Cricetulus griseus: one gene and its partners. The protein of the gene in region 1 interacts with the protein of each later gene in a pairwise test. Links are inferred from orthologs where the notes say so. Each region holds a gene or a part of one and is shown in the gene's direction. Other genes may lie near its edges. The genes, in order: Arl6ip1, Ndrg4, Acsf2, Gad2, Shmt2, Snx11 and Snx15.

What was found.
Region 2: the proteins of Arl6ip1 (region 1) and Ndrg4 interact in binary tests that used the Homo sapiens proteins (3 or more experiments, as listed by UniProt). The two-hybrid records come from large-scale screens. The link is inferred for Cricetulus griseus from reciprocal best matches to the Homo sapiens genes ARL6IP1 and NDRG4.
Region 3: the proteins of Arl6ip1 (region 1) and Acsf2 interact in binary tests that used the Homo sapiens proteins (3 or more experiments, as listed by UniProt). The two-hybrid records come from large-scale screens. The link is inferred for Cricetulus griseus from reciprocal best matches to the Homo sapiens genes ARL6IP1 and ACSF2.
Region 4: the proteins of Arl6ip1 (region 1) and Gad2 interact in binary tests that used the Homo sapiens proteins (3 or more experiments, as listed by UniProt). The two-hybrid records come from large-scale screens. The link is inferred for Cricetulus griseus from reciprocal best matches to the Homo sapiens genes ARL6IP1 and GAD2.
Region 5: the proteins of Arl6ip1 (region 1) and Shmt2 interact in binary tests that used the Homo sapiens proteins (3 or more experiments, as listed by UniProt). The two-hybrid records come from large-scale screens. The link is inferred for Cricetulus griseus from reciprocal best matches to the Homo sapiens genes ARL6IP1 and SHMT2.
Region 6: the proteins of Arl6ip1 (region 1) and Snx11 interact in binary tests that used the Homo sapiens proteins (3 or more experiments, as listed by UniProt). The two-hybrid records come from large-scale screens. The link is inferred for Cricetulus griseus from reciprocal best matches to the Homo sapiens genes ARL6IP1 and SNX11.
Region 7: the proteins of Arl6ip1 (region 1) and Snx15 interact in binary tests that used the Homo sapiens proteins (3 or more experiments, as listed by UniProt). The two-hybrid records come from large-scale screens. The link is inferred for Cricetulus griseus from reciprocal best matches to the Homo sapiens genes ARL6IP1 and SNX15.

What each region holds. Positions count from the first base shown.
Region 1 is NC_048596.1:82,511,680-82,516,203, forward strand, and holds the start of Arl6ip1 (ADP-ribosylation factor-like protein 6-interacting protein 1), read left to right. Parts: upstream 1-1,638; 5' UTR 1,639-1,759; coding exon 1,760-1,795; intron 1,796-4,061; coding exon 4,062-4,195; intron 4,196-4,524. UniProt on the Homo sapiens protein: Positively regulates SLC1A1/EAAC1-mediated glutamate transport by increasing its affinity for glutamate in a PKC activity-dependent manner.
Region 2 is NC_048596.1:171,882,240-171,886,539, forward strand, and holds the start of Ndrg4 (protein NDRG4), read left to right. Parts: upstream 1-1,468; 5' UTR 1,469-1,480; coding exon 1,481-1,558; intron 1,559-4,300. UniProt on the Homo sapiens protein: Contributes to the maintenance of intracerebral BDNF levels within the normal range, which is necessary for the preservation of spatial learning and the resistance to neuronal cell death caused by ischemic stress.
Region 3 is NC_048600.1:107,506,085-107,510,601, reverse strand, and holds the start of Acsf2 (medium-chain acyl-CoA ligase ACSF2, mitochondrial), read left to right. Parts: upstream 1-1,522; 5' UTR 1,523-1,612; coding exon 1,613-1,740; intron 1,741-4,517. UniProt on the Homo sapiens protein: Acyl-CoA synthases catalyze the initial reaction in fatty acid metabolism, by forming a thioester with CoA. Has some preference toward medium-chain substrates. Plays a role in adipocyte differentiation.
Region 4 is NC_048596.1:211,481,606-211,485,368, reverse strand, and holds part of Gad2 (glutamate decarboxylase 2), read left to right. Parts: intron 1-1,684; coding exon 1,685-1,792; intron 1,793-2,115; coding exon 2,116-2,205; intron 2,206-3,763. UniProt on the Homo sapiens protein: Catalyzes the production of GABA.
Region 5 is NW_023276806.1:130,225,841-130,230,283, forward strand, and holds the start of Shmt2 (serine hydroxymethyltransferase, mitochondrial), read left to right. Parts: upstream 1-1,614; 5' UTR 1,615-1,734; coding exon 1,735-1,767; intron 1,768-2,982; coding exon 2,983-3,180; intron 3,181-3,624; coding exon 3,625-3,704; intron 3,705-3,854; coding exon 3,855-4,055; intron 4,056-4,443. UniProt on the Homo sapiens protein: Catalyzes the cleavage of serine to glycine accompanied with the production of 5,10-methylenetetrahydrofolate, an essential intermediate for purine biosynthesis.
Region 6 is NC_048600.1:109,928,006-109,932,348, reverse strand, and holds the start of Snx11 (sorting nexin-11), read left to right. Parts: upstream 1-1,301; 5' UTR 1,302-1,418; intron 1,419-2,156; exon of another isoform or gene 2,157-2,230; intron 2,231-3,934; 5' UTR 3,935-3,994; intron 3,995-4,343. UniProt on the Homo sapiens protein: Phosphoinositide-binding protein involved in protein sorting and membrane trafficking in endosomes. Regulates the levels of TRPV3 by promoting its trafficking from the cell membrane to lysosome for degradation.
Region 7 is NC_048596.1:53,222,971-53,226,603, forward strand, and holds the end of Snx15 (sorting nexin-15), read left to right. Parts: intron 1-1,541; coding exon 1,542-1,799; intron 1,800-2,475; coding exon 2,476-2,567; 3' UTR 2,568-2,984; downstream 2,985-3,633. Other genes in the region: Sac3d1 (SAC3 domain-containing protein 1), read left to right, coding at 3,425-3,633. UniProt on the Homo sapiens protein: May be involved in several stages of intracellular trafficking. Overexpression of SNX15 disrupts the normal trafficking of proteins from the plasma membrane to recycling endosomes or the TGN.

The sequences.
Region 1 (4,524 bases):
CTAAAAAAAAATTCTCAAAAAGATTATTTTACTCATTTTTGAACAGTGAAAATTTTATTTCAATAGGAACATTCCTAGGTAAGAATGCCTTTAATCTAGAGTAGGGAAAGGTAAGTTGTTTGAGGCCAGCCTGGTCTACAGAGCAAATTCCAGGATGGCTGGGGCTACAAAGAGAAACCCTCTTGAAAAACAAAAGGCAATGTATGATGCTTCATTTTGGCAATATTAAGAAAACAAAACTGGCAGACCATGATTGGGAGTGAAAGCTCTGAAGGAAGTATCTGGCAGAGTTCATTTGCTGTGCCAAGTTTCTGAGGAAGATTTGTGATAAGGGCTTCTTCATCGGGTACATTTCAAGAAATCATATGGAAGATTAGAGCGGAGTTTATACCTGGGTCTGGGAACAGTCCACAACAGAAGTGCTGTAGAGAAACTGCTGTTGGACTTCTTTTATCTACCTCAGCCACAGCAGCTGGACTTTACACCAAAGCTTTCTGAAGCAAAAGCCAAGTTCCCAAGGTAGAAATGATGGATTTTAAAGCCTATTAGTATTCCTGCCTCTCTTATGAAAGTGGGTGCTCCTTGGCTACTAGCAAGATGGGGCCACCTCGCTGCTCAGCCTGTGTAGCAGCTGAGGTCCTTTTGTCCTCAATACTGAGGTGAAGGAGGGAATTCTCTAGTCTTTAAATATCCACCAGTAAGGTTTCTCTATCAACCCAATCATATCACCCCCCTACACACACACACACATTGTTCCTCGAAGAAGCACTTTACCCGAGCTTCCTAGCCAAAACTATGTTGTGTTAGTACCTTATCCAAGTACTCTCCACAGGTCTGTGACAAACCTTTATAGAGCCATCATATCATGCTCCAGGTAGGGCCAGGTTTATTTAGGAGCACTGTGTGGTCTTAAAAGTTTCATAAAAATCTCCCAGTACTTTAAAAGAACCTGGTATGAACGTTTTAAATGTTTTAAACGAGCGAAATGTTTTAAAAATAATTTAAATGTATTTGAGGTCAATATTTAGCATGGCTTCCCCCCACACCCGTTAATCCGTATCAATCTGGAACACTTCATCATTTGAATTACTCATCCACCTATCCATCCCTCCATCTGAAGTGCGCATAGTTTTCTCAATTAAGTGAAGCGCACCACAAACGATTCCCCAAAAGACTGGCTGCAAAAGAAGCCCTATATGAGTATGAGTCAGTGCATCTTCCGTGTTGTCGTAGGGCCTGTTATTGCTGGGCAGATGGCTGCAGCAGCTCTCACGCAGGGGCCCGCCATCCTCTCAGTCATAAATCTTAGCAGGCGCCATAGAAGTCTAAAGCATCCTCCGCCCTTCTATCCTCCGTTGGCATGGCACTGAGCAGCCTTCACTCCGCCAGGCTGACAGGCACCCCAGGGGTCTTGAGATGCAGCCCAGCCAGAGACTAGGGACGGCGGTTGAACCGCTCCCTTTCGCTCCGCCTCCAGAGGGCCACAACCCTGTACTCTGATTGGCCGGAGCCCTTCCGCTCCGCGCAGCTTCCCTCTCCTTTGACCTGGATTTCAAGTCATGCGCTGGCTGCCGGTTGGCCTGGCTTCCCAGAAGCTGGAGTGCTATCTACCCAATGAGGAGCGAGCTTCGCGAGGGCTGTCGGGAAGGGCAGCCAGCCTACATAAGCAGCCTGCGGGGCGTTCCCTCGCGCTACGGTCGGCGTGCGGGTGTTGGTGGGGTGTGTGTTCTGCTCGTTGAGACTACGCGCGTCCGTAACGATGGCGGAGGGGGATAACCGCAGCAGCAACCTGCTGGTGAGTCGCGGTGTTGACTTGTCCCAGACACTTTCGGTTCGGCCTCCTGGCCTCGGTGACTCCAGGGGCTGTCAGGCCTGATCCTGCTGCTCCCTGCACATCTCCACGGTGTCGGTCCCTACGGCCGATCCCCAATGTTCTCCGGGGATCGCGCACGACGAGGCAAGGACAGTGCGTGAGGAAGTGTGAGAAAGGGACCCTTGGCAAGAAGGAACCTGGGTGGCAGGTTAAGGCACTCGGCCGCCTAGGGCCTTGTTTAGCACCCGGGGCTCAGGCCGGAGACCTACCTGTTCCGTCTCTTTGATTTTTATCTCATGTTCGGTAGATTGTATGCGTGGTTCCCCCCGCCCCCAAAACAAAAACAACTTGGGCTAGGGTTGAGGGTCAAAGGGCTGCTACAGAGAACTAGTTATCGCTGACACAGAATTTGTTGTAGCTGGCTGAGAGTTCACCGCAGGAAGCTGAAAAGCGGGTTCAGCGGAAAGGACAGTGGGAGGACCTAGCACTTGTCTGGGAGCTGGCAAGGGGGCTCACGGGACTGGAGGCAACTTTAAAATGATTAGCACGGATTTGAAGAAACTGCATGAGGTGGTATTAGACGAGGAAACATTTGCTTCGTTACAGGTCTTTTTTGTTTTGATTTGTTTTGTTTTGTTTTGAGACCAGGATTTCATGTAGCCAAGCTTGCCCTGACCTATGTATGGAGGTTAGCCCTGCATTTGTCATTCTCCTGTCACAGTTGTGCATCACCAGGCCCTGCTAGCTTTACAAATTCAACTGTATCATCTAGGCAAGAAAGAGAGATACTTTTATTTTCTCTGTTCTCATTCCCCAGGGAAAGACAGGCCATATCAGAAATGAAAAGACCAACCAGCTTTTAACTTCTGCTTTTGTACTTTTAAGAGCCTAAATGCCAGCAAGTTAAGTCTCTACAGGACAATAGTCACTACAGGATTGTGCAAGGTTTTCACTTTGCATTGGTGTTTTGAAATGCTTTCCCTGACCCCTTAAATTCCCCCTATTCATACCCACATACCCCCACACACCCGCCACACACACCAGCAAACAATACAATAGAGATACTTGCCCTACACAACACTCACACACCAGCAAACAGTTCAGGAAGAGGATTAATTGATGTAAAAGGAAAGGGAGAGGACCTGATCCTGAACTTAACTGTTTCCATCAATGCAGTATCATTTTGAGGAGAGCAAGGCCATTAATCTTATATTTACTGGATTTAAATGTATTAACCTCTTTTTGCCTCAGTTTCCTCATCTTAAATAGAGGCTGTAAAAATACCTTTTCCAGTTTTGAGGAGCATCAGTTGAAGTATAGAATGTAAACTGTCTAGAATTTCTAGTTTGGAGTGATATCAGAATTAAGCATGTAATATAGAGTCAGAAGTACTATGACACAGATTTCATCTTTATTAGAGTTAGTCTGGACTGTGTCATATCATTTGCATGTTCCTTTGTGAAAAGCTTAGTGTCACTTGACATTGTGCCTATCTTGTTCCTGGGGGTTGAATCCAGGGCCCCTTACAGACAGAGCAACTTCTTGTTCTAATTTCCTTCCTTTACCAAAGTCCCTGAAGGGTTTCGATCACAATAGCTTATCCTAAAGGTGTGCTTTTGCCTAGTTGTTACATATGCAGAGAAATTTGAAATTTAGCCAAAATTACATCATCAATGATGAAGAGCCATTACGGAGGACTTTAAGTGCTTCACATAATTTAGTTCAAGTAGTTTTCTTTAATTCTACAGAGACTGCCAACACTTGAGCAATTCTATTATACAAAGAGCTATTTTAGATATTGTATGTACTGATTGTTTTCCTGATGCATTTAGAAGGGCTTAAATCAATAAAAAAAACCAATCAACAGATCAATGCCAACCACCTGAAATGAGCAAACATAGAGTATCCAATTGAGTAATGTTCTGAGCACTGCCTCATGACTCTGTGGATGAATTTGGGAATATTAGTTAACCATATTAAGCTTACTTGCATTAATAATGAAATATTTATCTCCATATTGTGAAACTTTGGGAGTATTATGTTACATCATGGACATATGGCCCAGTGCTGAAGGTTGGGCTTTCTCCCACCCACTCATACGTTTTTATGTTTGGTGCCAAAATTGCAGTTTTTCATGACTCAGCTTGTTTAAGATAACAGTTTTGATGCCTTAGGCTTTTACTCTCTGAGCCACTGGAGTGTTGAAATTGGTAAAGTAACAACACTCTTAACTGTTGATCACGTGTAGGCTGTGGAGACTGCAGGTCTGGAAGAGCAGCTGCAAGGATGGGGAGAAGTGATGCTGATGGCTGACAAAGTCCTTCGATGGGAAAGAGCCTGGTTTCCACCTGCCATCATGGGTGTTGTATCCCTGCTGTTCCTGTAAGTGAGGGATTCTATTGCTAAGTGCTCAGATGGTTCATAGCCTATGCTTAGAGAAGCTTTTGTAATACATAATCCAAAAGGAATGCCTTTCTTACAATTACAAGCAGCTTGCCCAGTTTCTAGAATTTGTAGTCCTTATGTAAAATTGTAACCTGATACACATGAGTAAATCCTGCACACACAAACTTTTGTGTTATAAAACCTTTTCTTTATATTCTTTTCTAATAAAGATTGAGGTCCCTAGAGTTTTTGACTGTTGCTGTTTAAATTAACCACGATAGCTGTGACAACATCATGCCAGGATACCTATAGAAAACCACTTGTGA
Region 2 (4,300 bases), about 89 Mb from region 1:
TGTCCCCCGCCCAAGTCTGAGCCTTTGGGGAATTTCATTCACTTTTACAAAATGGATCTCCAGGCGGGAAAGATGTCAATGTTTTGTGGCATATAAATTAAGAAAGTGCTAGTCTGGGGCTGGGCATGTAGCTCAGGGGTAGCATGCTCCTTAATGTGTGGGGCTCTGGATTCCATCCCCAGCACCACCAGAATCTAGAAAGTTCTGCTTTCTGTGCCTCTTAGCTAAAACTGCATGCCTTGCCTGTTTCGTGGTCACAATGAAAAAAATGAGTATCATATTAGTTATTTGTTTGAGACAGGGTCTTAGTATAAAGTCCTGGTTGGCCTGCAACTTGCTGTGCAAACCAGGCTGCCTCAAACTCACAGAAATCCACCTGCCTCTGCCTCCCAAGTGCTAGGATTAAAGTCATGTGCCACCATGCTGGCTGAGTATCTTATTTTAATCTGAATTTCTTTGAATATTTCTCTGTGTGTTAATGGAAGTCTAGTGCAAATCCTTGCCTCATTTCTCTCCTAGGTATATTCTGGCCTCTGCCATTATACCCAAATGAGAGATGGTACTGCCTCTCCTGCAAACACCTCATCCTGGGTTGTCTGTCCAATGTTTGTTGCTGCACCCCTACACAAGCACACACAGCAAATGTGTACACACTGTATGTGTGTGACCCTTTCTTCCTCCAAGGCTCAAAAGTTTCTGCGTTGGGGCTGGAGAGATGGCTTAAAGGTTAAGAGCACTGGTTGCTCTTCCAGAGGTCCTGAGTTCAGTTCCCAGAAACCACATGGTGGCTCACAACCATCTATAATGAGATCCTGTGCCCTCTTCTGGTGTGTAGGTGTACATGCAGGCAGAACACTGTATACATAATAAACAAATCAACCGGGCGTTGGTGGTGCACGCCTTTAATCCCAGAACTTGGAAGGCAGAGTCAGGTGGATCTCTGTGAGTTCGAGACTAGCCTGGTCTACAAGAGCTAGTTCCAGGACAGCCTCCAAAGCCACAGAGAAACCCTGTCTTGAAAAAAACCAAAAAAAAAAAACAAAACAAAACAAAACATAATAAACAAATCTTTAAAAAAAAAAAAAAAGTTTCTGCCTCTGCCTGAATCACCCAGAAATCAAGGCACGGACCTTCTGGTAGCCATAGGCAGAGATCACATACATTTTTCTGTCCTGACCCTGTTTGAGTCTCAGGAAAGAGAGCTGTCACTTCCCATCCTCGCGGCTTCAGTTTTCTAAAACCTCTGCTGGGTACTTCTGGCCACTTACAGGGATCCTCTTGTTGCTTTATTATGCTAAATGTGATTTTATTTGAAAAGAGCAATTACAATGTAATATTCCTTGGCATAAGCAGGTCTTGGAGAGAGATCAGTTGTGGTCACCTGGGGCCAGTAGCCCTGGCCGGTGATATCCTCACAGGGCAACTTCAGAACAAGCACCAACCGCATATTCCCTTCCTCCTAGGGCTTCTGCTCCATGACATGACCATGGCCGGGCTGCAGGAGCTGCGATTCCCTGAGGAGAAGCCCCTCCTCCGGGGCCAGGATGTGACCGAGCTGGTGAGTCGCCCCTTCCAGGTCCTGGGGCCGTGTGCCACCTTGTGGTGAAGAGGGAAATTGCGTATTTTCCCGCAATCTTGCCTGTGGTGATGGGGAGAACCTCCCTATGAACTCAGAGCCACCCAGAACTGATGGTTCATTTCTTGAGAAAGTTGCAGGATCAGCCTGAGTGGCCATCCAGCATGGCTGGGTATGCACCCCGCCCACCTTGCTTTCCACATTCAGCTCTGCGTTTTATTTCCGCCTTCCCAGCCTCCTGCCAGAAGGAGCAGCAGGGACTGCGATAGGTGGCTTAGCCAGGGCACCAGGGAATCCAACCACATGAGGCCACAGCCCTGCCCCTGAACAAGGTGTGATTGGTCATTCAACACATAATCCCAAGCGAAGCACCCACTCCTGGATTAGTTGAGGGTAGTTTGTGGGACCGTCATTGAGCTGCAAATTTGGCAAACTCTTCATCCCAGGCCCCACTGCTCCTGGACCACAGCAGATCCTCCTGCTAAGTAGCCTGCAGGAGCCTCCTCCCCGTGTTCCCATTTCTCTCCTTGTGCAATACCACCCTTTAAAAATGCACACGATAGTCCTTTACTTAAACTTCCCAGTGGCTGCCATCTCACTGCAGCTGTGGTCATGCCTGAGGTCGGGGTATTGTCTCCTCTTTCCCCTGCTCCCCTCCTTCCCAGCCTCCTTGAACCTTGAGTGTATCTGCCATATTTCCAGATGCTTCCTCTGCTGGAAGAAGACATTAGCCCAAGCACTCCCAGGGCAGCCTCCCTATTTTATTCTGGCTTCTGCTCAAGTGTTCCCAGGAAGCCTTTGCTGACCACTAGGCTGTTACTGGCACTCCTCCACACTCTGCCGTCACTCCCAGCATGCGCTGTCATCAGACCCTAACCTGCAGCATGGTTCTGTCTCTCCAGAGGTCTCTCCAGCCTCCTGCAGCATCTTGCTGTCCTTTCCTCCTGCTCCTGGAAGCCTACCTCCTCCTCCTATTGTAACCATTCTCTCATTTTCAAGCCAGTGGCCACCAGGGCCATTGTTTGCCACGCTGGTGTTTGGGATCCTTGAGTCAGCAAGAGGCTCTTGCTGGGTACCCCATCACCTCTGGTTTTTCCAAAGGGTTATTAGGAAAAATGCCCACTTGTAGTCTCCTCGTGACTCCCAGCAAAGTCCTTGAGGTATCAACTAGCTGCACCTTTGCCTTCAGGAGCTGCCCTTTCTCAGCTGTGATGCTGGCAAGTTCCCTTAGCATCCCGAGCACAGTGCCTGCCTGACCTCTTTACTTTCTGAATGGCTGTAGTTTGCCAGGTACACACTTTTGTATCCAGAGAGGATACAAAATACAGCAGGCCCTCCATATCCATGGTGTCCACATCCAGGGCTTCAGTTAGCCAGGTAGAAGTAGCCATAGTACACACTTTTTTCTTGTCCTTATTCCTTTAACAGCAGAGTATAGCAACTATTTCCATGACACATGCTTATCTTCTAGAAGGTGTGTTATAGGCCATCTGGAGCTGATTTGAATTGTGTGAGAGCAGAATCTGGGCAGCTAAAATGCCATCATAGAGAAGTGGATTTTGGTACCTACAGAAGGTTCTGGAAGCAGTGCAGAGGCAGGGGACAACTATATTCCTTCCCACCTCTGTAAGCCATGTTAGACTTGCTTTCCCTGAGGACTGTAGGGTCTGGGGAGTCCTGGGTTCTGTGGGACACTGCTGCCCCTTCTCTCCACCTCTCAGGCTTCCTTCCATTCATCCAGATCCTCTTCTGCCCTTTGCTGTGACCTCCCTCGGCCACCTCCTGTGGTTCCCAGGGATTCGTGTTGGCTCATTTTTCTGCTCTCCCTTGGTTTGTGGGCCCCACCCCATCCCTCCCTCCCTCCCACAGACCCACCCCCTGAGCCCCAACGTCCCGAGAGCACATAGCACACCCTACCATTATCTGCATCATCCTTGCCATCAGATTTTTGTTTTTTAACAGAACTGTCTCCTCCCTCCTTCCCACATTTGCTTTGCAGCCCTCTCACTGAAGGTGCTTTGGTGAAATGCTCCTTCAGTGACCAGCCCTACCCCTTTCTGCCAAAAGCCCCCTTCCTAAGGGATCCAGAAGTGACCACCTTCTCTCCCTTGACCCCTGTAGTTCCCCTAGGCCTTGGAAGAGTCAGTAGGTCTCACTGCATAGCTGAGTCTGGCCTTGGACTCCCAACCTCCTGAGCACTGGACTACTGGCATGTGCTACTATGCCCAATTTTGAGTGTCTTCTGAGCCATGCGCCCCTCATTTATGACATCAGATTATTTGTCCAGATTAGCCTGTGTTTGGGAGCCTACTCTAGTCCAGGCTTTACATGGCCAGATAGGGTCTCTCCATCATGGCATCTGGAGTCCAGAGAGTGGAAGATGCCACTTCCAGTTTCACATAGACCCAAGAAGTCTGAGAGAGTCAAGTGGGCAGCACTACTGAACAGGCCTCAGCTACCTCCCCTGCCCTGTGGGTGACAACCATGGTGGCTCTTTGCTCCTCTGTCATCCTCTGCCCTTGTGTGCAGTGATCCAAAGCCAGCATTCAAGCAGAGATCCCAGTGCGTTCTGCCTGTGGAGCAGCCCTCAGTCTCCATGATACCCTAACAAGATAGAAACCCTTGTGCTGTTCATACCCTGACACCCAGGATAAGCTCATGAGCCACTACCATTAGCATGAACATGACTGGGAGTCGGAAGACCAGTCTGCTTTGGCAGAGCCC
Region 3 (4,517 bases), on another chromosome or scaffold:
CCACCAGGCCTTCCAGGAAGGGCTTGGATCCAAAACTTGGAATATTAGCACGCCTCATTCCTTGGGCCTGGCCTCTGGAAGCAAGTGTATAATTTGGAGGGCATGCCCTCTCAAGCCCAACTCTTCAAAGTCTCTGTCTTGACTGGTTCTCCATAGGAACACAGATTCTTCCCCAAATTTGCCAGGGAGATCTGAGGTCACTCTGGAGATCAAAGAGAAGGAGCAGCTGGATTACTCATGACAGTTGAACCAGGATTCCCAGATAAAGGCAAAGGTTCACTAGGCCAACCTCTGCTCTCAGCCAACCCCTCCTCCTGGCCTGATTTTCTTCATTTCCAAGTCAGGAGAGGGGAAGCCACCCTGCCAGGACTTTTCTTTTCTTCCTTTGAAGTAATGATCGTTCAGGACAACATGGTACTGACTAGAAGGTGTAGGGGTTGTGTGCCAGTCTTTGGTTAACCCAGTGCCCAAACCCAGAAATGAACAGTCATTTCTTCTAGGTCTTCTCTCCCATCCTTCTTGGGTTACTTGTTAGAATATATCCCAGAGGGCTGGAGAGATGGCTCAGAGGTTAAGAGCATTGAATGCTCTTCCAGAGGACCTGAGTTCAATTCCCAGCAGCCACATGGTCGCTCACAACCATCTGTAATGAGATCTGGTGCCCTCTTCTGGTGTGCAGATATACATGGAAGCAAAATGTTGAATACATAATAAATAAGTAAAATCTTAAAAAAAAAAAAAAAAAGATTATATCCCAGAAGCACAGGGTTTTGAGTCTCTCACAAAGTCCTTTGGAGCCTAGGGGAGCAGCTGAGGAATATGTTTCAAGCCTCAGCTAGGGCAGAAAAGAGGATAGGATAGGAAACAAGAGACTTCAGTCCCTGATGCCACCAGATCTTGTCTACTGGGCACTCTACTCGGAGTGACTCGGTATAGAGAAGGAAGGATGCCACGAGAGATGCGGGGTCGAATTATAGCTGATTCCTGGCGTTGGGCCGCATTAGTACCCCCCCACCCCACCCCAGTCCCAGAGTACAGAGGGGCTCACCCATCAGACCGGTTGGGGCCGGACAGCCTCTCTTCCCAGAGGCTTTCTGTTCCAGCCCGCAGGCCTCACGGGAGCTCCGGGCTGGGTTCCTTTGGCCTGTAGCTCACCACCACCCGGGAAGTTCCCACGTGACCCACGATCTACTGGGCACTGGAACCAACTAGCCCTGAACTTGCTGTCTGGCCCATTATAGACTTCAGATTGTTTTCCCGTTTATGAAACTCCTCGGCCCTCCAATCTTAGCCGGGGGATGGCCCTGTATTGTGCTGCAGAGAGAGTCTTGGGATCCCCCGAAAACAAAAACAAAGAAAAATAGGGGCGATTCTTCGAGGGCGAGCTTAGAGGGTTGTAGTTCCCACGCGAAGGTGGCCCAGGACTCGAGAGTCGCCACTTCCCGGCCTCTCCTCGCCCCGCCTCGCCCCGCCCCGCCCCGCGGGGACCAGTCCTTCTCACCCCATAGGCAGAGCGACCCTCCCGCCTCCCAGTCCGCTTCTTCTTCTTTAGCCCCCGCCTTGTTCACTTTCAAAGTTTACTCCCGGCCGTGATCTGCGGCGGAAACGAGCCATGGCTGTCTACCTCGGGATGCTGCGCCTTGGGAGGTTGTGTATCGCGAGCCTGGGGGCGCAGGGGCCCCGGACGCTACTCTCTCGGCCTTGGCAGAACTCGAAGTTGCACTGTGCCCGCGCACTCAGGTACCCCGAGCAGCTCCCCGAAAAGAGAGGGGGCTGGGCAGTCCCGAGGAGGAGGGAACTCGGGAGTTCTGCAGAGCTTGGCAGGGACTGACCCCACTCTGGGTGGCCCTCACTCAGACTACCCTTACCACCTAGGCAAAGGGAAGAGCGGGCCTGGCTGGGGTTTGGGGCTGCTGCAGGCAGCTGCAGTAGTCTTAGACTGAGTTCAAATTCTAGATCAGGATTCTGTATGCGTCCCGGGTGGCACACAGAGACAGAAGGTAGGCTTTTAACAGTACACCCGGGGAACAGGGCTGAGTGCTGCTGGGACACTCTCTCAGCTGTACCCACTTCAGTGAAAAACTTGGGACGGGTTGGGAGTCCTCAGGCACTGAGTATTTAACAGTCCCTTTCTCTTTCTTTCTTTCTTTCTTTCTTTCTTTCTTTCTTTCTTTCTTTCTTTCTTTCTTTCTTTCTTTTTCTAGACAGGGTTTCTCTGTGTAGCCTTGGCTATCCTGGAACTCACTCTGTAGACCAGGCTGGCATCGAACTCACAGAGGTCTGCCTGCCTCTGTCTCCCAAATGCTGGGAATAAAGCCGTGCACCATCACTGCCTCCTGGCTTCTTTCCTATGTTTTAAAATCATTGCCACTTACTTCTGGGCCTGTTTTCATCAGCCCTCGTGGGAAGGGGGTTGGCAGGAGAGGATTGGTTGAATAAAGCTAAAGTGGCCAGGCACTGAAGGGACTGCAGGAGACAGCCTTGAGAAAAGCCAAGGTTGGTAGAGCTGCCCCTGCCCGTGCAACAAGGTTGGTGGTATCTTCAGCATCCAGTAGGGGGAAGGCCTGCACATAGTTGAATATGCTCTGCCACACAGTCTGCTGAGCTACTAAGCCTTGTTTGTTTGTACCACTCTGGCTGTGGTCTTGGACAGGACAAGTGGAGACACAGCTATGTCTCTGCAAACTAGGTAGCGCGTATCTATAAGGCAGAGGCAGGAGGATCTCTGAGTTCTAGGCTAGCCTGGTCTAACAGAGCGAGTTCCACGACAGCCAGGGCTACACAAAGAAACCTTGACTCTACTTCCTGAGAAGTTGGACAGATAAGTTGGAAGATGCCTTTTTGTCCAGAACTCTCAGTCAGATTATGGCCTTCTGAAAACTAGGAAGCAAGCAGTGTGTGTGTGTGTGTGTGTGTGTGTGTGTGTGTGTGTGTGTGTGTTATGCTGAATAGGCACTCTACCACTGAGCTACATGCTTAGCCCTTATAAAGAACTTTAACACCCTCTGCCTCATTTCCTGAGTGGACCTAGGGGATCATGGCTGGGTAGTGAAATGGGGCTCACTGGGGGAATGGGGGGGCACTTTTTAAGGGAGGCTCTCACACCTCCCTAGGCTAACTTGACCCTGCCCTATCCCTAGTTGGCCTGTCTCACCTTTGAACTCTTGAGTATCCCTACAAGCTGTGAGGACTCTGAAGAGAAAAGTTACTCCCCAAAATACATACAGTTGTTGATACTAAATCAGACCCAGTGTTACACAACAGTGCTTTGATTTGTGTGTGTGGTTCATGTGGATATATGTGTGTGTGCGTGTGTGCATACCTATGTATCCCTGCACCTGTGTTTTAAGTGCAGGTGAAGGCAGCTACCCAATGTTGGGTGTTCTCCTTGAGCTATCTCTACCTTACTGTTTTGAACTAGGGTCTTTGACTGAGCCTGGAGCTCACTGATTTGGCTAGGCTGGGTTGCCAATGACTTCGAGGGCTCTTTCCCTCTCTGTCCCCCTCTCCCAGGCACTGAGAGGTTACAGATGGCTGAGTCACTGTACACAGCTTTAGTGTGAGTGCTGGGGATCCTAACTCAGTTCCCTATGCCTGCACAGCAGTCACTTTACTGACTGAACCCAGCCCCAACATTCCTGATCTTTGACCTTTGCTTGTGTAAACATAGCAGGTTACTTACTTGCCTCAGGCCTGTGACCTCTGAGGGTTTCAGTGTCAGGCCTCAGAGAAACTGTCTAGAAAAGACCTATTTATCCAGAGAAAAAAAGATTCCCTGGTCATCTGGCCCACCTTCTTCCCCTTCCTCTCTTGTTTGCATCCTTCCTTGCTGTCCGTGGGCGCTTTTGTCTGGATTGTCCCTGCTCTCCTCTGCAGAAGCCTCCCTTCGGGCGTCTCAAATACACAGCACACATCTCTGAGGGCATGCCCTCACTGTGCCGAGCACCTAGGCCATGGAACTAAGACCCGGACTTGTGTGAGGACGAAAGGTATCAGGGGAGGAATAGCTTGATGGTGTTCCCTGCATAATGGTGTGGGAAACTGTTGTCCTCTGCTCTCTCTGCTGTTTTGGAGGCAGGGTCTTCGTGTGTAACCCAGGTTGACCTGCAACTTGAAGCCATCAATCTTCCTGTCTCAGCCTCGGAGCTGTGAAATTACAGGCATGTATCGTCATGCCCAGCTCTGGTTTCTGGTTTTGCTGAACGGGAAAGAACAAGAATTTGAAGCAAGCTTGTCTTGAGATACAAACCTGGCTCCTCTACATAAAGCTGATGACCCAGGAACATATTACCTTATTTCTGAGTGTGGTTAGTTTGTTGCTAATGAATTCTTACCTGCTGGCTGGTTGTGGGCAGAGAGGCAGAAGCTTTGAGATTGCTTTCAGCCTTTCCTTCCAGCTGGTAGATAGCTAAGAGTTAGACTTGATACGGATCTTTGCAATCCCAGCAAAGGGCAAGAGTATTGAACCAGCCCCCATCCCTCACTCGACAGCTGGGGCTTTGAACAGTGGCCTCAAG
Region 4 (3,763 bases), about 130 Mb from region 1:
GCAGACATGTTAAATGCAAGGAGGCTGCTAAGTCAGAGATTATGTTTTTATTAGTTTATTCGTTGACAGTTTCATGCATGTATATAATGCATTCTAGTCACAGGTGTTCCTCCACCCTTTCTTATCCCTCCAAAACCCAAGTCCAAGTCCCACCTTCAAATCTTCTGAGGGATTTCTTGGCTTTGCTTTGTGATTCACTTAGTTTAATTTTGACTGGACTCTCAATTTACATGAAAGAAAGATCACTCCCTCTGCTCAGTAAGCAGAAGGATTGCTGTGAGCTGGGGATCAGCCTGTCTTCAGAGTAGGATCTTGTCTCACAACCATGTAATCATCACAGCCACATTTGCTACGGTTGTTCTTGCAGGGAAAGGTTGACGCCGTGACAGGCATGGCTAGGGAGCTTCAGATGGGATAATTATCCTCACTTCTGGTCTAGGTTGAGGGACTGCACTTATTATTTTGATAACTCTTATCATTTCATCTTGAAAAAATTTGAAGCTTGAAGTTGGAAGCCAAATGGAAAATTTTCCATTTGGATATCCAGACATTTGAAGCTTTGCATAACAAATAGAAAAAAAAAAAGCTCTTAAGTAATGTAGCCGGTGACCTTCCCTTTTTCACCTCTCTCTGAGGTCTTTCATTTTAAAGCTGGGAAAAGCTGGCTTCTTCACCTTCCTGTCAGGGGTTGTCCTACTCTTGCTGTTTGATCCACATCTGATATTTCTTCCACTACCCCCAGGAATTAGGACCTGAAACATGCTTTACATGGGCTGTGTTGTTTCTTCCCTTTGGGGGATGATAAGGCCCTGAATAAAAGGGAAAACATACCCATCTTATCTCCATTATAGTTAGAGTTGCTTCCTCTGGTTCCCATGCTGGGTTAGGTGGTATGCCTGTACCAGTACCAACAGCATTAAATGCTTTGCTGAGATTTCCCTTTGCACTTGTCAAATACAGGTACTAAAGGAGGAAAGGCATTTTAGAAATTAGTTGCTTAGTGTGCCTAGACATTGGTTAAATAGCTCCAGCCCAAGGCTGTTGTACTGTGTTTCATAAGTCCAGACCCAAGGCTTCCAGAACTGTGAAGCAGAAGACTTCAATGGCATATTCACCCAGCTGACATATGAGTCATACTTCATCACAAAGGACAACACCAAAAAGCTAGGCAGAATGACAGGCTTCCCAAGACTCATTTGTTTGATCAACTGACATTCAGTGAGTGCCTGTTTGTTCTTACTGAGCCATTTAGGGAGTTTGGGGATGGATAATTTACAACAAGAGTGGGGGCCAGGCAGGCATTTGGGGGGTCTTGTCTACAGGAAAAGACTAGCCCAGCCCTTCTGTTATTAATGACTTCCATGATTGCATCTATGAGCTGCGGAGGCAAATTTTCCCCTTGAGTAATCAAAATAATTGCCTGGGGAATTAAGCCCTGGGAACAAAAGGAGTCAGCTGTGGGCCCTAGTAATGAAAAGGAACAAATGCACCTGGGGGGTGGGGCGTTAAACAGGAGCCTTCAGCAGAGAAGCCTCCAGGAGTAGTCTCATCTCAGCCTGGCAGAGCTCGAAAGGGCAGGGTGACCCTGGGCAGTCTCCAGGGGACTCATGTCATTCCTTATTTCCAGCTGATAGCTACCCACACACCAGGCCTTCCTAATGCTTTTCCTTCTTCTCTTTCGTAGGGGACTATTGGCTTTGAAGCACATATTGATAAGTGTTTGGAGCTGGCAGAGTATTTGTACAATATCATCAAAAACCGAGAAGGCTATGAAATGGTGTTTGATGGGAAGGTATGTACTCACATTCCAACAATCACCATTGTTGAATCCCCGTATCTTCAGTTCCACTCTTCACCCCTGGTGTTTTCTGATGTCAGTAATGTGCTGTCTAGCTAGGAACCATTACTAAGGCAAGCAATTGATGGTGTGATGGCTCTTTTGAGCTAGAATAAAGATCAGACTCACAAGCAAATCTATAGAATGTGAAAGTGAGACACCCCAAAGGCAATTACTCATTTAAATACAGCAATTATCTTCTGAACCTGAAGAATAAGTACATCCAAATCATCCTTGGAATTTTGAACCAGGTCTGAATCCTACTTTCTTCCTTGTAGCCTCAGCACACAAATGTGTGCTTCTGGTTCGTGCCTCCCAGTTTGCGTGTTCTGGAAGACAATGAAGAGAGAATGAGCCGCCTCTCAAAGGTAGATGCTGACAGTTCCTTTTTTCTATGGACCTTCTTTGTAATAAGAAACTCTTACTGGGGAATACCAGGCTGATGCCTAGACCGATACCCTCTGTGGCTCCCACAGAGCCAAGATGTGCAAAGTCTGTATTTCCTGACTTTTCACAATTCCATTTGCTTGGTTCTAGAGAGAAAGAGTTTATGATGTCTTAAAATTACTGATTGGTTGATAATCTCCACCGACATTTAGAAAGCACCAAGAACTGTCCTCAAAGGTTTCTGGTTTTTGAAAGGAAACAGATACTCACAGTTACAAGGACAAAAGACATTTCATGTATCAGAAATAGAAGGGGGAAAAAAGGCTGCTGTAGGCACTCTTTAGATACCAAGGTCAAGGCTACCCAGGGGAAGTAGCAATAATATTAACAGCTACCACTTACAGTGTGCATTGTGCCCCAGGCTCAACATTTATCATGTTTTAGGTCACTTAAAGTCTCATAACAGAATGTGTGAGTTGATGTGGCCAAGTACTGATTGACAGAGAGAAAATGTAATTTTCCCCAAATTACACAGTAAGTCTGACTCCAGAGCCTAAGTTGCTTTGAGGTCTCCTTTGGTCAGGAAATACTTTTTTTTTTTTTTTTTTACCTTTAATCTCTACCTGCTCCCAATATCTACACATGGGTGAAGTGTGTTTTTGGTATATGCCATCAAGGCATCAAGGTGCTGTAGAAATGGGAAACTAGGGTGATTTATATGCTTGAACTTCAGAAAGTTAGATGCCCTAGGCATTTTTTTTCAGTGACTAGAGGAGGATGGAGGCAGAGCCAGGTTAGGCAGGCATGTACTCCCCACTGCTAAGAATCTCACCATACCTTACTAACCTTCTAGAACAATCCATTCCCTCTATGTAAAGGGAAGAATGGATTCCTGTAGATGAAAAATCCTCAGGAAAATTTTTGGATATTAACATCTGCCCTTTAGCAATCCAGCACCACATTCCTCAGCAGAATGAAATTCAGATGTGGTTTTTAGTTTGTCAGTGTGTGTTGTACATGTTCACGTGTGTCTGCAAATGGACATGTGAGTGCATATTCCCATGTGTGCACCTGCATGTTGGAGAAGGAGCAAAGTTAAATTCTGGACAAGACAAAGCCAAGAACCCACACGAAAGTCAATTGCTGAGATAAAGTACTGAGATGTAGGGGTTTGCAATATAATGAACTTGTGTAGGTTAGGTGGCTTATGGACAACAAGAATTGATTGTCCACAGTTCTGGTGACTGGGAACCCTGAGATCAAGAAGTCAGCAGAATCTGTGTCTGCTGAGGCCCCACTTCTGCATCATTGACAGTCTGCACTGTACCATCCTCTGGCAGAAAGAAAGAAAAACATCTTTCTGGGGACTCATACAAAGGCACAAACTAATAAGGCAGAGCCTCCCAAGAGCCCCATCCTCAATGGGGAGTAGGATGACAACATAGAAATTTAAGGGCACACAGTTTTCAGTCTACAGTGAGCACTTTTCACATACTTTCATGCATGAGGGAAGAGAACATTTACCAAACTTAATGGTGG
Region 5 (4,443 bases), on another chromosome or scaffold:
TTTTACCTATTCAGGGCCTGCGGCGGGAATCACCTGAGAGAATTGAAGCTATGGAGAGACAGCAGTCAGCTCTGAAAGATACTGAGCCCTCCTGTGAGACCCAGGTGGGAACGAACGCCTAGGGTGTCGATGGCCGGGAACCAGCAGGCTTGGGCCTCAGACTCCTCGCCTGCAACTCCACAATAAAATAGCATATGTTAGTATGTGAGACTCTAGATTCTGTCTGTCTCACTAAGAGGAAAACAAAACAAAACCAAGCTCACAGTGGTGATTGTGAGTCCTTCCTTTCATGGTCCTCTTTCTGTCACTCACAAACATTCCTCCTCCAAGGCTCTGTCCTCCCACACTCTGTACATGTGAGAACAAAGTGAGGTGTTGGAAGTTGTCACTGTTTACCTCTTCCCATCAATCGGTGAGCCCTGTCTCTCCGGGGCTGAGGCATGCCTCGCATGGCTCAGTGTCTATAAAATGGCAGTGTAGGGCAGTGAGTCCCCAAGAACTGTTTGGCTGTGCATCTTTGATTACTGTCTTTAAGAGCCATTGAACTAGAGGTTTTTTTTTTTTTTTAAGATTTATTTATTGTGTGTACAGTGTTTGGCACCAAATCTCATTACAGATAGTTGTGAACCACCATGTGGTTGCTGGGAATTGAACTCAGGACCTTTGGAACAGCAAGCAGTGCTCTTAACCACTGAGCCATCTCTCCAGCCGGAACTAAGTAACTAAGATGTCCCCAACTCACGTAGACTCTTCCCCTGAAGAGTATGACAAGAGGAGGAATGGCTCACGCTGCTCTCAGCTGATGGTGGACCATGGCTGTGAAGGGTTGTGAGTTAGGAGGACAATCCACAGGGGAGCTTGTTCTGAAAAATTGCATTTAATCCTCACCATAAACTCTTTTATTATGTTTGGGGGGGCGGGGTTGACAGGCTCACATGTGGTTCACTGGCCTCCAGCTTCATGTGTAGCTAGTTGAGGCTAGCCTTGAACTCCTAATCATCCTGCCTCCACTTCCCCTTTGTGCTGGAATGACAAGCATGGGCCATCACGACTATTTTACCACGGTGAAACCGAGGACCAGCGAGGCTATTTTGCTGTAATCCTAAAGCAGGGATTTGGGTCTTTTACCTTTCAAAGTGTATTGGCTTCCACTGTGTCAAAGTTCTTTACCGTGTGTGTGTGTGTGTGTGTGTGTGTGTGTGTGTGTGTGTGTGTGTGTGTGTGTACCTCCCTTATAGTGCTGGCTACTTGGTAGGCTCAAACCAAACAAACAAACAAAAAACCCGAACAAGGGCCGGGCGTTGGTGGCGCACGCCTTTAATCCCAGCACTCAGGAGGCAGAGGCAGGTGGATCTCTGTGAGTTCGAGCCAGCCTGGTCTCCAGAGCGAGTGCCAGGATAGGCTGCAAAGCTACACAGAGAAACCCTGTCTAGAAGAACACAGAGAAACCCTGTCTAGAAGAACAAACAAACAAAAAATAACAACCCTGAGGTTCAAGACCTTTTCAGGCAACCTGACGGTACAGATGAGGCGTAAGGATGAAGAAAAACTACATTTCCCAGAAGGCCATTTTCTAGAGACGGCAATGCGCCTGCGCCGGCCCCTCCCCTTTAGCTCCGGCTTCGTGGGGGTATTTTTCTCGCGCCTGCGCCCTGAGACCAGTCGGCTTCCGACCCCTCTGTTACTACTCCGGACCAGAGTTGGTGACTGGTCCTGCTGTGACCTCTGGTAGCGATGGTACCCTTCTCTTTGCTTTGGACCACTCGGGTAAGGACAGCGGTATGGATGTTGGATGGCCAATGGAAAGGCCCACCCCACTTTAGTTCCTTTTCACAAAGTGGGGTTCCCCTGGCTCCTTCACCGCACGTGTTCCGGGGCCTCGGGGAGCGGATGCTTAAGCAGGAAATCCCTGAGCCTCCTGGGTGCACGTGCGGTGCCTGGGCCCAGTCCTGGTTCCTAGTCCTGGCGATCGATGATCGCCCCTTTCCCATGCTTCAGGTAAAGTTCCGCAGACCCTGTGTTAGCAATGTCCCAGCGAACAAGTGGGGTTCCCGGCTCCGATGTGCTAGTTTTAATTTTTCCCGCCAGCTCTGAGCTGTGGAGATGATGCAACCGGGCCTCCGTGCTTTCATCAGGCAGGGGTCCCGCTGCAGCGTGGGCGGAAGGAAGTAGGGAGGTGCTCAGTGTGTGTGTGTGTGAGAGAGAGATAAAATTTAAGATTTTGGCTTCTCTCTGGACAAACACCTTCCCTCTACCCCCACTCCCGCCAGTACACAACTCTTCCCAAGAACTGCTTAAAAGTCTATTCTACTTTGGTTGCTTTGGAAACTACCCTACAGCCTGTGGCATTAAGCCCTGTTAATTTACTGTCTTCTCTCTGAAGTAGTCTCTTATGGAGGCCCTGCTCGAGGTCCCCCCCCTTTATGTTCATGAACATTTTGCCTGCCTGTATGTATGTGCATCTCATGCGTGTCCAGGTACCCACAGAGTTCAGAAGAGGGCATCATTTTCCCCTGGAAGAGTTACAGATGGTTGTGAGCTGCCATATGGGTGCTGGGAGCTGAACCTCTGTCCTTTGTCCTGTACAAGAGCAACAAGTGTCCTTAACCACTGAACCATCTCTCCAGGCTCAGGAAGGCCCTTCTGGGTAGACCCTGGAATCTAGTCTCTCTAGTGAATTTGGGGGACATGGGTTTGGGGGGGCACAAGCTTTGTTGTGTGACCTTGCAGGGTAACTCACATGGTGAGCTGGAGATCTGGATGGGGGGTTGAGTAGAGCTGATCAAAACTGCCCTTTGGATACTGATCTGAACCTTGACTCTAGAACTTGCTTTTCAAGGTGAAGGTGGGGGTGGTGAGAACTGAATTGGCTAGCTGGACCAGGCTGCCTGCTTAGCCAGAGGGCTGTCTGTACCCATAGTGAAGGGTGATTGGGAGAGGTCTGGACAATTTTTAATCAAATCCTGGCTCTTCTGCTCTAAGCCTCTGCAGAGATGTGGTCAGCTGGTCTGGATGGCTGCTCGGGCTCAGCACAGTAAGGTGGCCCGGACACAGGCTGGGGAAGCAGCTGGAGGCTGGACAGGCCAGGAGACTTTGGCAGATAGTGACCCTGAGATGTGGGAGCTACTGCAGAGAGAGAAGGACAGGCAGTGTCGTGGCCTGGAGCTCATCGCCTCAGAGGTAGGGAATGAGGATATGGGCCAAGAAGTAAAATACCAGGAAATAACACATCATCTTACTGACATTTCTCCTGGGCCTTCTCCCTCTTTGTACTATCCCCTGAAACATTAAGCAGGGCCAATCCAGTGTATGGGGCTGGGGCGTTAGGGAGCTTCTGGAGCCCCTACAGTTTCATCTCTTCCTTACCTCCTCTTGTCAGAAGAAAGAGGAAACATGGGTTGAGTGGACAGGTGGCTTTCCTGGGGCCACCCATCATGGCTGTTGAGTTTTTGAGAATGCTGCTTCTGGTCCTGCCTCATGCCTGGCAAAGAACCCAGAGTGTACAGAGCTTTTTATGCATCCTGTCTCCACCCCATCCAGCCTGTGGGCTCTGGCAGGGATGGGACTGTGGGAGTCCAGGGCAAGGGGCTCATTGTCTTCTGACATTAACCCCCACCACTCCAGAACTTCTGCAGCCGAGCTGCGCTGGAGGCCCTGGGGTCCTGTCTGAACAACAAGTACTCGGAAGGTTACCCTGGCAAGAGGTGAGGGCTAGATCAAAGGGCTGGAGGGCAGCATCAGGGATGGCGCTCCTAGTGGTGGAACCCGCTTAAACCCCATTGATTCTTATGGAGCAGTGGCTTTCCCAGCCCTTGGCTTTTTCTCTGTGCCCTTATGTACCCTCTCCATGGTAGATATTATGGAGGAGCAGAAGTTGTGGATGAAATCGAGTTGCTCTGCCAGCGCCGGGCCTTGGAAGCCTTTGACCTGGACCCTGCACAATGGGGAGTCAATGTGCAGCCATACTCTGGGTCTCCAGCCAATCTGGCTGCTTACACAGCTCTTCTTCAGCCCCATGATCGAATCATGGGGTTGGACCTACCTGATGGGGGCCAGTGAGTATGAATAAATGATGGGTTTGATGGGCAGTAATGACATGGGCCAAGTGTTATTTTTTTTTTTAAGTAAAACCTTTTTATTTAAACTAGAAACAAGATTGTTTTACATGTCAGTCCCAGTTCCCTCCCCAACCCCCCAACCCCCATAACATTCCCTTTCTGCTCTCCAAGGAGGGTGAGGCCTTCCATGGGGGGGAATCTTCAAAGTCTGTTATATCATTTGGAGCAGGGTAGACCCTTTCCCGTGTGTCTAGGCTGAGACAGCATCTCTCTTTGGGAGTGGGCTCCCAAAGTCCATTCGTGTGCTAGGGATAAATACTGATCCACTACCAGAGGCCCCATAGATTTCCCAGGCCTCCTCACTGACATCCACATTCATGGGGTC
Region 6 (4,343 bases), on another chromosome or scaffold:
CCTTTTCCATTGATATGCTTGTGCTGGGCTAGATTTTCTTCACATACTAAAACAATTGAGCATGAAAGAGAAACAAACAAACAAACAAAAAGATTTGGAACTGGAGAAATGACTCAGAGGTTAAGAGCAATTTCTGCTCTTGCATAGGACCATGGTTCAGTTCCCAGATCCCCACAGTGGCTCCAACCATTTGTAACTCCAGCGCCAGGAAATCTGATACCCTCATCTGACCTCTGAGGGTTCCAGGTAGGCCTCCATACTTACAGGTGAAACACTCATACACAAAATAAAAAGAAACATTTATTTTTGGTGTGTGTGTATATGTATGCCTCGGATCCACTGGAGTTGGAATTACAGTTGATAGCTGCCGGATGTGGGTGCTGAATTCATCTTCTGTAAGAGGGAACAAACACTCTTAAACTCTGAGCCATTTCTTCAGCTCCCGTTTGGTTGTTTTTGAGACAGGGTCTTAGGTAGCCCTGGCTAGGCTGAAACTCATTATGTAGTTGGCAATGGCCTTCAATTCCTGCCTCTACTTGCAAGTTCTGGGATTACAGGTGTAAAATTATCTTTTTAACAGATGACGAAGGTTTTGGTTTATTTATTTATTTTATTGTGTTTTGAGATTGACCCTTACTCTGTAGCCTGGGTGGTTTGGAACTCACTAATGTAGCTTTAATCTTCCTAGTGTTAGGATTCCTTGCGTGAGCCCTTCTATTGCCTTAAGAGGAATCTTGATGTCACCAGAGTTAGCATTTTCACCAGCTTTTCCTTGCTTGTTACCTGCGCGATCCTGCTTTGGGCTTGTCTCGGGGAGTCACTGTGAGTTGTCAGCCTTCTCGCTTGGTTTTTGCCGGGATAATCTGCGTCTTTTCCAAATCTAACCGGCAGTGCCCTTGACAGTTCAGCTGAGGAACTGCAACCTCCAAGGTTCAAACAGGGACTCTCTGGAGATCTTAGTGAAGCTCCAGGAACGCGTGGAACCTCCCCACACCTCTGACAACTGTAACACCCCTACGGATACCTCGGATCCCAAGATGCTCTCGCAGACCTTTAATGACGCTCCCTGCGCGCTGATTGGCGCGCCTGACAGAGGTGGGCGGGACTCGACACTGGAGTGGACGTTGAGGGGTTTCTGTCCTCTCGCGCTCCACCTCCAGCGCCCCAGCAATTTCCGGAAAGATCCGGATTGCTGCTCAAGTCTGGGCGGGGCGGAGAGCGACCGCTGACCCGCGATCGCCACTGAGAGCCCTGGCCTGCAGGGGTGGGGCGTCCTGGACACTCAGGATTGGTCCGTCGGGAAACGCCTCCCGTCGTGCACCGGGGCGCCGGCGACTCACCCGGAAGGAGAAGCCGGAATTCGGGCTGTCTGGTGCGGTGCTGAGGGTGTCGCTGTAGAGAGCTGCTGCTGCTCTCAGGTGAGGGGGCGTGGGCGGAGCCGGGCTCGTAGGTGCTGCTGGGGTGGAGGGGGGACCCCGGCTCGAGGAGCAGTGGTGGCATTTGAGTGTTGGCCTCGTTTGACATGCTGCCGCCCGGTGTGAAAGTGAGGGCTTGCTGGGGACCCAGCAAAAAAGGAAGCCTGGCTTTTCAGTTTACCTTGAGAATAGAAGATGTCTTTCGTCCCAAGTTTAACCGGAAAAGGAGAAGGCGCCTGTTTCTATTTTCCATCTAGTTTGATAAGAATGAAAGGGAATGACCAGAGTCAGGGTTCGGGGGTATCTATCCAACTGGCCGGGAGTGGGAGAAAATGGCAGATATTTTTCGCAGATACTGGAAATTATGGTCGCCTTTGTTATTTCCAGGTGAAATGAAAAGGTTTATCTCCTGAAAGGTGGGACAGCTGCTTGCTGGACTGCTTGGTGTGTCTGTCCGGCGCGAGAGCTTCCTCTAACATCTGTGGGCATTTAGGAAGGCGAGGTTTTTGAGTTGCAAAAGTTGTTGACACCAAAGGCTCAAGAATGAGTAAGGCGGCAGGCTCCTCGGCGCAATCGTTTTATAGTCTGATTTGTTTTTAACGTGTCTCTTGAAATAGTTTAAGTGGTAGAAAAAATGAGGGGTAGGCCTTGAATTGCTCCCCTGAATTAGCAGTTGTGAGCTTTACAGTGCATCAGCTTTGTATACAGCAAAAGATCTGGTTCTTCTTCAGGACTTTTGGTGCTGATACTGCTGAGGGAAGCAAACAGCACTACGGATGTGATGGGAAAGGCCCTGGAAATGTAGTTAGCACTGAGTAAGTTTCTAACCCGTGGAGGTCACTTGATTTTATCCTTCCTATCTCTGGGTCGTATAGCTAAAGTTAAGAACTTGATGCTTCTCCAGGAATGGACTGAGTTTCATTTTCTTCCAAGGAGTGGGAAGGAAATGGATGGAGAATAGTGGTTGTTAGAAATGGAGCCTAAATTTTACTTACTGGACAGTGGAGGTGGAGTTAGGAGCCAGCCTGGTCTACTACAGAGTGAGTTCTAGGACAGCCAGGGCTGTTAAACAGAGAAACCCTGCTGTAGGGGAGACACTGTAGTCCCGCCTCCTAGGAGCTAGGTACAGGTGTGCTTGACTACGCCTCTGGATGACTCGTGGGGAGTTCTTAAAGGGGCCGCAGAGCTCCTTCCTGCTGCTCCCCTAGGGCAGACAGGACTTTTCCTGTCTCCCTCTTCTCTTCTCTGTATCTGTGTCTCTTTACCTCTTTTCTCTTCACTTTCTAATAAAACTTCCCACTTAAAAAAAAAAAAAAAAAAAAAAGGGGCCGCAGAGACGTGGGAGTCTCTCTCTCTCTGGCCTCCCTAGCTTGCTGCCTCTGGGCACACTCTGGCTTGCGTTTGCCTGGTGTTTATCTGAATAAAGGTATCTTAACCCCACGGACTACAGCTCGATTTCAATCACGCTATACCCTGCCTTGAAAAGTCAATAAATAAATAAAAATAAAAAAGAAAGAAAGAAGAAACGGAGTCTAGGTTTTTTTTCAGTATTTTTCAGTATACTAGTTTCAGTATTTTAAGGAATCATAAACCAGAACTTCCTCGGTGCCCTTTAAACTTAGGTTTAAGCATATAAACACATGGAGTCTTAGAGGCTTTGAATTTTTAAAAGACAGTTTATGATTGTTTCTATGTGATATTAGCTTCACAATAAAGGAAAAAACTTCCACTTGGGGGTGCTGCTGGCCCCTTTCAAACTCTTCTTTAGACCGAAGCTATGATGACTGTTTAGTTATTGAGCTAGAGTCTTGAATTTCACAGAGCTTTCCAGGCAGAGAAGTGTCAACTCTTTTCTTGTCATCTTTCCTACTGTACTACAAAAAGACACTTGGGAATGTTTAACTCTCGGTTCCTATGCTAGCAGATTAGCAAATGCCTATAAAGAAAAAGGGGTGGGGAACCCCAGGAGGTTAATTATTCACATCGTCTGTCTTCTATTTTTGGTCACAGGCCTTTGTCTGATTCCGTTTGGACTGTTAGTCTAGGTTATTGGGGAATTGGAGTTTCCTGAATTTCAGTTCAGGGCCTGTTGGAGGTGGTGACTGCAGCTGATGAAAAATCAGATTGTCAGCAAGAATGCTGTTTATTAGGGTGTAGAAATCACAAAACCTTGGGCTTGCTCCACAATGTAGCTCACTTTTGTCATCTGCCATGTAGCTTTGTCCCCGAATGCAAAGTCTGTCTGTAGAAGTGAGACCTTCTGGGATATTGGAAAGAATTGCAAAAGCTGTTTGCTCTGCTAATTTCATGCTGTAAATGAGTTCCCCCTCTTTTGAAACATTAGCCCTGTGTTAGCAAAACATAAAATAGACGGAAGCTCATTATGCACTCTTGTAATGGTAAGGCAGAACTAATAAGAGAATGTGTTTAAAATTAATTGTGGGACTGTAAAAATGAGTGGGTGTGTGAATGGGCACGGGAGGAGGGGAGGGAGAGCTTAGACAGTCTTGTTTTCCCAGGAGCCAGCCCGGATCATTTGTTGGCAGTACATATTGGCTGAAGTCAGTTTTCATTTCAAGGTAAATTGGAAAGGGAAATTAAACCTTATTGTTTTGCTCTTAAGAGAGAGGAAGGAGGTGGCGGCGGCAGCCAGGGTGGATGCTGTTGGAGTGGGTCTAGGAGTAACAAGATTAGTGCTGTATTTTAACAGAAGGTGACATCATGGGCCCCGTTGGAATCCAGCAACCCTGTGCTGCAGCCTTCATGGTCCCCTTGCTGGAGTGGGCGATGTCGCCGTACACGTAAACTACCACACTGGGGGAAATGAGAGGCTTAGGCTTTAATGAATCTTTACAAAGGAGCAGAATGCATCCTGAGTTGACCCTCGAAGCTGTGGGGTGCTTGGGCAGAGGTACAAACCGGATGGCA
Region 7 (3,633 bases), about 29 Mb from region 1:
GAACCTGCTGTGGCCCTGGTGGCAGAATCCGAGGCAGAAGCAAAGGCAGGAGGATCTCTGAATTTGAAGCTGGCATGGTCTACATAACAGTCCAGGTCAGTAAGGGCTACATAATCTCAAAAACAAAACTAAACAGACAGAAAATGGAATCTTGCCCCAGTCAAAGGGGGTGAGGTCCGGGATCGAAGAACAATAGGTATGAGAACTCCCATGGTGACCTGGGGGGCCATCAGAGTCAGGCCGGTTCCCAATACAGGTCAGAGTACTTAACTCCTACTTGCAAATCCCTAGCAAAGAGACACTAAAGCTTAGTTTATTCTAAAATTCACTGACTACAACTAGGGTGTTAGAGTGGCTAACTGCACTAGGGACATGGCTTAGTTGATAAGAATGCTTGGTTGGCGTGCATGGAAGCCTGGGTTCAATTTCTAGTGCCGCTTTACAGGGTTTCTCTGTGTAGCCCTGGGTGTCCTTGAATTGTCTGTCAACCAGTCTGGCTTCAAACTCATAGAAATCCAGCTTGCAAGCTGGGCGTTGGTGGCACACTCCTTTAATCCCAGCACTTGGGAGGCAGAGGCAGGTGGATCTCTGTGAGTTCGAGACCAGCCTGGTCTACAAGAGCTAGTTCCAGGACAGCCTCCAAAGCCACAGAGAAACCCTGTCTCGAAAAACCAAAAAAAAAAAAAAAAAAAAAAAAAAAAGAAAGAAATCCAGCTTGCTCTGCTTGTTGAGTGCTGGGATCAAAGGAGTGTGCCACCACCACCCAGTTTTATTTCAAACAAAAATAAGGGCCTTCAAGATGGCTCTGTGGATAAAGGTACTAGCCAATAAGCCTAATGCCTTGGACTCATGATAGAAGGACAGAACAGATTCTGGCAAGTTGCCTTTCACACACACACACACACACACACACACACACACACACACACTACTTTTTGTTTTAATCGGAAAGCTGGATATGGTGGCATATACCTTTGATCCCAGCACTCAGGGAGTCAGAGGCAGGCAGATCTGTGAATTCAAGATCAGCCTAGTCTACACAGCAAATTACAGAATAACCAGGCCTACAGAGTGAGACCCTGCCTTTAATACAACAAAAAAGGTAAAGTGTCACATGGCTATATCCCAGCACTAGAGAGGCAGAGGCACAAAGACCAGTAAGATGGCTCAGAAGGTGGAAGCACGCCTTGTGAGCCTGGCAACATGAGTTCCATCCCCCAAACTCACCTAGGTTGAAAAAAAAAAACTCCCAAGACTTGTCCTCTGGCCTCTACATGGGTACCACGGCAGCACACTTGTGCCTTACTCACTCATATATGCAACAACAATAAACTAACCCTTTACAGAAAGCTCCTGAGCCAAAGGAAGCAAGCAGATCACAACAGATTTTGTGAATCTCAAGTGAATTTGGGATTTTCCAGGCTCTGTTCCCCTCCAGTGGGGACAATTTGGTGTTCTGATAAACAAAATAAGCCTGGGGTAGACAGCATACCATGGGAAAGAAGGCTACTCTGGCCTGAATCCTCCCCGTTTTATTACAGAAAGTACAGGTCCCAGCCCCACCCACACTGGTGAGCTGGCAGCCATGGAGGTACAGTCCAAAAGACTGGACCAGGAACCTTGGGAGCCAGGAGGACAGGAGAAGGAAGAGTCTGAGGATGGAGAACCTGCCCCAGCTTACCTGAGCCAGGCCACAGAGCTCATCACTCAAGCCCTTCGGAATGAAAAGGCAGGGGCTTATGCTGCTGCCCTCCAAGGCTACCGAGATGGGGTGCACATCCTGCTTCAGGGAGTCTCGGGTGAGTATAGCAGTAAGGAAGACAGGGCAGTGAAAAGCAGAGGGGTTGGGGAGATGACTGTGTGTAGTGCCTTGCCATGCAAGCATGAGGAACTGAATTAGAATGCCCAGAACCCAGCCGGGCGTTGGTGGCACACGCCTTTAGTCCCAGCACTTGGGAGGCAGAGGCAGGCAGATCTCTGTGAGTTCGAGGCCAGCCTGGTCTACAAGAACTAGTTCCAGGACAGCCTCCAAAGCTACAGAGAAACCCTGTCTAGAAAAAAAACAAAACAAAAAAGAATTCCCCAAACCTACACAAAGTAGCATGCAACAGCACACTCAGGAAGCCAAGTGTTCCTGTGGGAAGATGAGAATCCCCAGAAACTCCATCCAGGGCTGGTGAGTCTGGCATATGCAGCAGACAACAACAAAGAGACCGGGTCTCAGACATGATGGAAAGAGGAGACCTACATCTGAGGTTGACCACTGACCTTTATATGTTCAATTTCACACATACACGAAATATTTTAAAGAAAAAAAGAAGGACCAGGAGCCTTCATTTGTCACAGGTCAGCCAGAGACCTTGGGTGGAATTTTCTTTAATTTTTTAATAGCCTCATAAAATGGGGAAAAGACATTATGACCCAGGGAAAGGCACATTCAGGCCAGGGACTCTGGAGGCCTTCTGCTCTCTACAGGTGACCCATCCCCTGCCCGACGGGAAGGTGTGAAAAAGAAGGCAGCTGAGTACCTGAGGCGGGCAGAGACCCTCCATGGGCAATTGCCTTGAGGAGTGGACCCTTCCTGGGACATCAGCTCCAGCACTGCCAGCCTCCTCCACTCAGTCTTTCCTTGGGACCTGGCCTTGTTTCCTGCTCTTGGAACCCCAGGGGCCATATCTGTTTTAACTGGACCAAGTATGAGAAAAGCAAAGACTTCTCAGCTCCAACCTGCCTGCCTCTTTGGAATCAGACTTGAACTTCTGGTCCTGCCTGTCTGTTTTATGTCTATTCACCCATCTAGAACAAGGGTCTGCAGCCTGCAGTCTGTGGCCAGACCTAGCCCACTGCCCTTTTTTGTAAGACCCTCAAGCTACAAGGGTTTTTCTTTTTTCTTTTTGTTAATGGTTGGAAGGAAAATGATTCTTTGACCAGTGAAAAATTTATAAAATTGAAATATGTGTGAATAAAAACGAGTCCGAACACAACCAGGTCCGCATGATTATTACTGTCTATGGTTGAGTTTACATTGTACCAACTGAGTTGAATAAGCTGTGTCTAGCAAATGAGTGTGGGGACCACACCTTTAACCCCAGCACTCAGAAAGCAGGGGCAGGAAGATCTCTATTGAGTTCAAGGCCAGCCAGATAGAGCTACATAGTGAGACCCTGTCTCAAAACAAAACGCTTAGGGAGGCTATCTCGAGGGAGACAAAGAATGACAGGCCCACCGCACTAGTTTAGTGTGTAAAGAGATAATGGAGAGATAGGCAAGGCAGGGTTACCTATTTCGACAGCCCCAAGTACAAAAAGCTAAAATCCACTAAATCCCGGAAGACCTGGGGAGGTGTGGCCTCATCGCTGGACTACAAGCCGGTGCATCATGGGACGGCTTAAAGGGGAAAAGCCGAGGCCAGGCGCGGTGGAGGATGAGAGGCGTTTCCGAAGCCCGTGGGAGCCAACGTCTTCCGGCATTGCGGTGTCTGGGAAACCCGGGTGAGCGGGGGCGGGCCAGCCAAACTGGGCCCCACGCGTGTTTCCTGAGCTCACAAGAGGATGCAACGCCACGTGTCCGCTGGCCCCGAGATGCTCAGTGTGCTCCGTCTACCCACAGCCCTGCCATGTCCGGCTGCGAGCT